Linked DNA regions of Mus musculus: region 2 is reported to be linked to region 1. The links are microRNA targets in miRTarBase. Many come from high-throughput screens and were not tested one by one. Region 1 holds a microRNA gene; the other region holds the end of a gene's coding sequence.
Evidence for each region. Region 1 holds the annotated microRNA mmu-miR-30e-5p (UGUAAACAUCCUUGACUGGAAG, at 1,164-1,185, opposite strand). A microRNA usually pairs through its seed, bases 2 to 8, with sites in the 3' UTR of a target mRNA and lowers its output. Matches are read on the target gene's strand: a 7mer-m8 pairs with bases 2 to 8, a 7mer-A1 pairs with bases 2 to 7 and ends in A, and an 8mer does both.

Region 2: the mRNA of Pnkd is a reported target of mmu-miR-30e-5p. Seed matches in the 3' UTR shown: 8mer at 1,878-1,885.

What each region holds. Positions count from the first base shown.
Region 1 is chr4:120,771,497-120,775,563 of GRCm38, forward strand. Mir30e (microRNA 30e) reads right to left here and starts at 1,201; the gene lies at 1,110-1,201. It overlaps Nfyc (nuclear transcription factor-Y gamma), which reads right to left. Exons shown (of 10, transcript NM_008692.4): 5 at 2,176-2,271. Mir30f (microRNA 30f) reads left to right here and starts at 1,110; the gene lies at 1,110-1,201.
Region 2 is chr1:74,351,671-74,355,737 of GRCm38, forward strand. It overlaps Pnkd (paroxysmal nonkinesiogenic dyskinesia), which reads left to right. Exons shown (of 10, transcript NM_001039509.1): 10 at 88-2,022. The coding sequence ends at 261. Among named protein-coding and RNA genes, the nearest start is that of Catip, 8.4 kb to the right of the region's middle.

The DNA.
Region 1 (4,067 bases):
AGCTCCAGACTAGGGGAAAAAATACATTTGCTTTAGTGGCAGGGTGAACTGCTGCCTCCTTCAGAGGGTGTGTTTTGGAGAGTAGGCACTTTTAAAGGACTTTAGGAGGTGCCAGCCAATTTGGAGCTTGGGAAAACTTCATGTCTACAGAGAATTAAAAAATGCTATCTTAGAATTTCAGGCCAGCTTTCAGCAATCTCAACCTTTTAAATGCCAGGCAGCAGCTGTCCTGAATAGGATGCCAATCAATAGCTCAAACACCTACAAAGAACTAAAACCAGGCAGCTAAAGGAGTGTTCTTGCTGTATACCTTTTAAAGGGAGATGGACTAAGTATAGTGGTCCATGCCTTGAATCCCAGCACTCAGGAGGCAGAAGCAGATAGATCTCTCCGAGTTCCAGAACAACCTGGTCTACACAGTCTAGTCTAGCCAGGGATACACAGGGAGAGCCTATCTCAAAAATCCAAACCAAACCAAAGAACAAAAGAGGGAGATGGGGTAGACCACCAGCAAATCTAACACCCTGACAGACCCAGAAGAACAAACAACTTTGGAGGAAGGTATAGGTCAGCAGCTCTCAACCTGTGGGTTGTGACCCCTTTGTGGGATGGAAAGATCCTTTCACATGGATCACCTAAGACTACTGAAAAACAGATAGTTGCATTAAAATTCATAACAGTAGCAAATTACAGTTATGAAATAGCAATGAAAAAAATTTTATTGTTGGGAGGTTATTACAACATGAGGAACTGTATTAAATGGTGCAGCATTAGGAAGGCTGAGAACCACTGGTATAGGATAATAACTTTCTCTTTAGTCATCTATTCAGCAGGCAGCCCATAGTGAACAATCAGTACAATAAGAGCAATGCCTGACTGCATCACAGATCTTACCACCTTGTCTTTAAAGGAAACTCCTGGTGGATACATGGGAGCAAAAATCCAATAAGGAAAACAGGCTCATGGTATTATCAGCTCCAAACGAAGAGAGACAGTCTGAGTTCTTGTGACTTCTCAGAGAGAAAGGAAGTAACCCAAGAAAAGGAGACAAGTTCATGGGCACAAACCTGCAATGTCTCAAAGCCGATGAGCGCAGCCGGGGACGACTGTGGCAGCCTGCCGCTGTAAACATCCGACTGAAAGCTCCTCTCAACACCTTACAGCTTCCAGTCAAGGATGTTTACAGTAGCAAAGACTGCCCAGAAAAATAAAGAGCTTCAGTGAGGCACAACCTGCTCCCATAAGGAGGTGACCCAGGGCTTGCTAACCCAAAAACCCTCATGCAGGGTCAGAATTAATGTCAATTAGGATGCCCACTTCTCCAACAGGTTTTCTGACTGGTTATTTGTACAGGTCAACATGGGGAGAATGGTTGTCATTAAATGACTCTAAACAGTATACTACAAAATAATTAGTTAAAAACACTTATATTTTATGAACAAAAATAAAACAAGCAGGACATGGTATGGCTTTACTTCTCTGAGGCATATTACACTAAACCTAGTGAATCATGCAAACTGCGTGCCTGAAACAATGAGCTCTATAGGACTGGGGTCTATCACAATCACAACTAAGTTATATGCACCCAAGTGCTGAACAAAACAAATGGTGTGATCTTTGGAGATGAACAGGCAGAAGAAGGGCAGACACTTAGTTCTTGTAATTAAAAAGAAAAATGTAAATGGTGGTTCTAAAACTTCACTGGACACCAAAGCATCTAGGGAACTTTAATTATTGATTCCTGGGGTCATGGGGTCATAGGTTCTGACTCAGTGGATGATGGGTAGAGTCATCACACTACAGAGACACAGCATAGAGTAAGAAAATAAAAGCCACTGGCTCCAATCTGATCACTATGCACAAAGAGGTTGTTTCTTAGAATCTGAAAACTGACTGGCTGAAAAAGCTTTTATTTTAGATGAAGAAATCCTGAACTGAGCTTCACCCCACTATCTGTGACTAGTCTTTTTAACTTTGTTCTCTCACTGCAACCCCACCCCAGAGGCACTGAGTTAAAAGTACCCATAAATGAGTAGAAGGAGATGCTGAGGATGATCTGGACTACGGAAGAGAACCACAAACAAGAAATGCTTTGGGTGGGAGGGAGGGAGGAGCTCCGGAGAGCATCTTGCCCAGGCCCTGGAGGTGGCAGCTGAGCAAATCCTCCCAGCTCACCTGGCGCTTTGGAGGTTTCAGTTCATCTCTTGGAACAATATCGATGAGAAAGTCGAACTGATCAAATTTTGTAATTGCCATGGCAATATCATTCCTCTGTAACAAAGAAAAACAAAGTTAAAAACTGGCCTAGGAAGAATCTAGTTCTTTTGGCTGTTATCCTTCAAGTAAAAGGACATGATCCTCTCCTATCCCCTAGTCCCAGTGTCTGGGATTAAACCTAGAGCTTTACACAAGCTAGACAGGTATTCTACCATTGAGCTATGCCCCAGCCCAAGGAGATGACTTTTAGACTGTACTAAAAATCTCTAGGTTTGTCTAGAGCTAAAAATAAGAACAGCTCAATTTATATCAGACTTGCTGGACAGAAATCAACGAAAGAGATACACATATCTCGTGCTCTAGGCCAGGACATCTGAGCCCTACTCACCACTATTTCTGCTTGTTCTGGTTTCAAAGCTTCCATAAAGTTGTAAAACCACCATCCTCTGGCTAATTCAGGACAAAGCCAGCAGTCTCAACTGGCATTCTGTGGTCCACAAGGTCAGCCCATCATTCACTTGTATGATCTTTTTAAAGGCCCTAAGCACTGTTTGTTGTTGTTGTTGTTGTTTTTCTTTTTACAGGCACTTATAATCCAGTCGCTTGATTTTTATGTTACCTATGGGTTTTAGTTTAGAAATCAAAACTGCACTGCTTAATGAATAGTTTAATCCGAATTTGAGCCTGAATACTCAAGCCTGAATTTACTATAGGTAGGTAGTGAACACAGAGCTGAAAAGAATGTCACAAGTGGACTTTCTCTTCAAGTCTGATATTATTCCCCTTCCTTTGAATAATAAAAATCAACACTTTTTCTCCCATATGATTTGTGTACTTTATTGAAAGTTTTAAGGTTAAAAAAACAAAAACAAAACCACTAAGCTCAAGTGAGTGATATAGTTAAGTATATATGGGAAAGTAATTTTTGAAATGTATTTAAAAATAGATCACTTTATGGCTGAAGTGAGAGGTATGATAAATTTGTTTTTCTTACTTTATTTATTTATTCATTCATTCATTCATTCATTCATTCATTTCCCCCCTTCCCTTCTTCCTCTTGCTCCTGGGCCCCACTTGCTCCCGGGACCCACTCACTCCAGTCCATAGGTTTTTTTGTTGTTTTTGTTTTTTGTTTTTTAAAAGTATTATTATCTGTTTCTCATTATGGATGGTTGTGAGCCACCATGTGGTTGTTGGGATTTGAACTCAACATCCAGAAGAGCAGTCAGTGCTCTTAACTGCTGAGCCATCTCACCAGCCCAATTTGTTTGTTTTTCAAGACATGGTTTCTCTGTATAGCCCTGGTTAGTTATCCTGTGGCCTGCTAAAGTAAAACTTTAACAGCAGAATTTGGGGAAAAACTAAACAGGTACGTACTATAAATCCTTGACAATAGCATAACAAGGAAAAGCAAACAAACTCAAAAACTCCTCAGCAACCTCTCGATCCCACATCTGAAGCAAAGGGCCAAAAGGAGTCATGGAAATGTTCTGTTTTTTCCTTCCCTAGTATCTGTCATGGTCCCAAGCCACTGAAATGCAAATCTCCAATCCACCCTTCTTGCCAACTACCAACTTCATAATAAACCCTCCTAACGAAGAAGGGCATTATCTTACAGTCTGCCAGAACTCATCTAAGATGAACACACTAGTATAGCCTTCTTGATAATGACACCTATTCATGCTAACTAAACAGCTCCCTAAGAATGAAATGAAGGAAAAAAATAAAGTACCTCCAAACACACACAAAGGCAAACATTTCAATTCACTTAAATTGATCTTTTCTACCCTTCTTATAGCTCAGGTTAGCCCTGAATTTGGGGGGGGGGAGGGGGAGAGGGAGAAGAAGAG
Region 2 (4,067 bases), not on the chromosome of region 1:
GCGGGGTGGGGTGGGATGGGGTAGGCAGACATCCCTGCATTTCCAGTTTCTATCCACCCACCCATCCCTGTGCCTCTTGCTCTGCAGTGCCCATCCACCCTGGGAGAGGAACGCGCCTACAACCCATTCCTGAGAACCCATTGCCTGGAACTACAGGAGGCTCTGGGGCCAGGGCCAGGCCCCACCAGTGATGACGGCTGCTCCCGGGCCCAGCTCCTGGAGGAGCTGCGCCGCCTGAAGGACATGCATAAAAGCAAGTGAATAATAACCCTCGCCCACCCCAATCCAGGGTCTCCCAGCAGAGGGGAGGCCACCCACCACCCACACTTCACCATCCTCTTCATCACTAATACCACCACCACCACCACCATTGGTGCCCTAGGCAGCACTAATCCTCCAGACTGGCCAGGGAGGGCAGAGCCCAGGCAATGGGACCTAGAGGAGGAAGCACTGGGAGGCTGAGACCCCACACAGTACAGGTGGTGTTTAGGGTAAGAGGAAGGAAGCAACTGAAACGTCTCCAGACTTTGCTACCTTGGAGGGTCTGCCTCCCCTCCCCCACTCATGGACCAATCGCCAGATCATGAAGGCTGCATTTGGCTCCTGCTCCAGAGGCCACACCACCACTAGAGCCCTAGAACCCAGGAGAAGAGAGTCCTGACCAGGCTAGTCTATCTTCCACCTTCCCCCATGCAGGGTTGTAGGGGAAGCTCACCCCAAAAATGATCTAACGTGTGGTGCCTGGGAAAGTGGTCATCAACCAGGGCAGCCAGACTCTGGGTGACTGAGACTCTAAGTCCCACCCTACCTACCTTGCTAAGACATTGCCAGGCAGAGCCATTCCTAAGAACACCTAAGGACTGGAAGCCTGGTTCTGGCCCATCCCTGCCTCAGTGGATGTCCTGAAGGCCAGAGAGAGAGGTTCCTGGTTGCCAAGGAATCTTCTGCTTCAGGCCAGGGAGTCAAAGGATGATGGCACACAGAGCCACACACCACGCACATCTGTTCTGGGTCTGCCATTGTCCCGGGTCATAAGGGCCTGCCTGCCTTCCCAGGGGAGAGTGAACTGTGGTCTGCCTCAGAGACCTGCTTCTCCTTTCCGCCCTTGTTCTTAGGAATTCCTGCCTGCCTGCTGTCTCACTTAACCTCTCTTGCTCTATCTTCACCCCCTTTCCTCTCTGAGTCATTAAAGGCTGACTTTCTTCCAGCCTGGTACTCATCCGGCTCTTTGCAGTTTGCCAAAAACCTTCATTCCCACGTCATTTCCCACTGGATCCCAGGGCCCTCTTGTTGTCAGTGTGCAGATAGCAGAGGTCTGGGAATAGGAAGCTCCAGTGAGTGGCAGCTTCCAGGACCTCAGGCCTGGCCATACCCCACTGCTCATCCCCCTCCAGATCTGCTTGTCCTCTGGTCTCAGGTCAAGGGCCCTTTGTGGCCACAGGAGCACTATGGTCGTTTTGCAAGCACACCTTAGGTGAGTTAGCCAGGAGCCACATCTTTCTGTGTCAGAGCCTTCCACTGGGCTGTGCAGTGCCCTCTGTTGTTCCTCTGAGATGCCCCTGCCTCAGTTTCCCCTCTCATTTGGCTTCGGCTGCCCTCTCCAGGCACAGCCTTTGGAACTCACTCTAGCAATACCACCGGACTAGTTAGCCTTCCCGGCCCCAAGACACTCGCAGTTTCATGCCTTTGTGCCTTTCGCTCATGCGGTTTCTTCAGCTGGAATGCCTTCCCGCTCCTGCCGCCTCCTCTGCCTGGCAAACACCTGTTAGCCTCTCCCAGGCCCCTCCCCCAGGAAGGCACCCTTCACCCCTCTCTTCCAGGCTACCTCTGCACCTGTAAATGCTTCTCTCGTGGCACCTATCACACCGTACTTTACTTGTTTACATGTTTGTCTCCCCTTCTAGACTGTGAATCCTTAAGGGCATGGACTGTATCTTATGCATCTCTGTATTTCTGCGCCTAGCACGGTGCCTGGCACACAGTAGGCGCTCAATAAATGTTGAATGAATGATTTAACCAAGGTCTGAGCTCTCAATGGCTTATCTATGCTGCCCATGGGTAACAACAGCAGAGAATCTGCTCACTGTTTCCTGACTCCATTCCGGGTCCCACAACTCAGGGTACTTCGTGGGAAAAGCTCTGGACAGGAAAGGCTCCAAGGGCACCAGAACAACCCAGAAAAAATGCCTCCACATGCTCCTTCCACAGCCCCTGTGCTTTGGGTTCAGAGTTTGCGATGTGTGTACCTGGGTCCTTATCCCAGCTTGAGACACACAGGATACCACTAGCCACAGACCAGCCAGGAAGAGCACTCAGTGGACACAACCTTGGCTCCAGCTTGTCTCTTCTGTTCTGTTCTGGTCTGGTCTGGTCTGGTCTGGTCTGGTCTGGTCTGGTTTGGTTCTGTTTTGTTTTTCGAGACAGGATTTCTCTGTGTAGCCCTGGCTGTCCTAGAACTTGCTCTGTAGACCAGGCTGGCCTCAAATTCAGAAATCCTCCTGCCTCTGCCTCCCAAGGTATGTACCATACCACCTTATTTTTCTCTTCTTTTTTCTTTTTTTTTTCTTTTTTGTTTTAATTTTTTATTAGATATTTTCTTTCTTGTGTTTTTTTATTAGATATTTTCTGTATTTACCTTTCAAATGTTATCCCCTTTCCTAGTTTCCCCTCAGAAAATCCCCTATTCCCTCCCCCCCTCCCCCTGCTCCCCTACCCACCCACTCCTGCTTCCTGGTCCTGGCATTCCCCTATACTGGGGTATATAACCTTCGCAGGACCTAGGGTCTCTCCTCCAGTTGTTGACCGACTTATCTTTCTCTTTTTTTCTTTTCTTTTCTTTTCTCTTCTTTTCTCTTCTCTTCTTTTCTTTTCTTTTCTTTTCTTTTCTTTTCTTTTCTTTTCTTTTCTTTTCTTTTGGCTGTAGCTGGTCTTAATGCCTGTGTAAAAATGAGCTGGAGTCCTGTCTATGCTTTGCTTGTGTCTCACTAAATCTATCTTTTTGTCCATCTTTGTTTTTGGTGAGCAAGACTGGTTTTTAGTTCATTAAGGTGATTGAAGATATTTCTTTCTTTCTTTTTTTAAAGATCTATTTATTATTTTATACCTAAGTACACTGTGGCTATCTTCAGACACACCATAAGAGAGCGTCAGATCCCATTACAGATGGTTGTGAGACACCATGTGGTTGCTGGGATTTGAACTCAGGACCTTTGAAAGAGCAGCCAGTGCTCTTAACCACTAAGCCATCTCTCCAGCCCTGATGTTTTTTAAAATAAGAGAGCAAGAAGTAAAGTGAGCCTCCCGCTGTGGCAGCAGCTCTACAGGTGGCCATGTGTGGGTGAAGGCACAATGGCACAGTGCAGCCCCGGGCCAGGCAAGCATGGCTTCCCCATCCTGGCAGAGATCCAGCTCCCTCTTGGACATGAGGGCAGACCACAGTGAAGAGTGGTCTGGCTCTCTGCTGTCTTAGTAGATGAGCCCCAGGCCCTGAACCACACAGCTCACTTTGGGCATGCTCAGTGTAGGAACTGTCATAGATAGTGGACATGTCCACAACCTTGGGGATGCTCCCACAGGACTATTCCATTTTGAATGACAGGTGATCTGTAGTTAGTGCTTCCCAAACAATCACATCATGAGGTTTTGCTTATAGGACAGGGAGTGCTATCAGCCTTAGACCCCTGGGGGGTCAGTCCCAGCTCTGTCCTGCTTGGCAGTATCCCAGGCAAGTAATTTCCCTGCCGTATATCTATGAGAGGCTATAATAAGAGGCATAGCATCTCCATGGCTTAGGTAGGCAACCTAAAACTAGGATTTTCTAAATCACATCGTGATGAGTCCAGACATGGGCAGGGCCAGAAGTTCAGAGCATCTTTGCTAGATGCAGATGCAGAAAGATTGCAGGTTTGAGGCCAGACTGGACTCAGACATCCCAAGAGCCTGTCTCATAGCAACAGCAGAACCAGTGTGGTGGCACACACTAGTAATCCTAGACTGAGGCAGGAAGGCAGGAGTCCAAGGCCAGCCTGGGCTACATGGAGGTATCTATGGACTACTCCATCTCAACA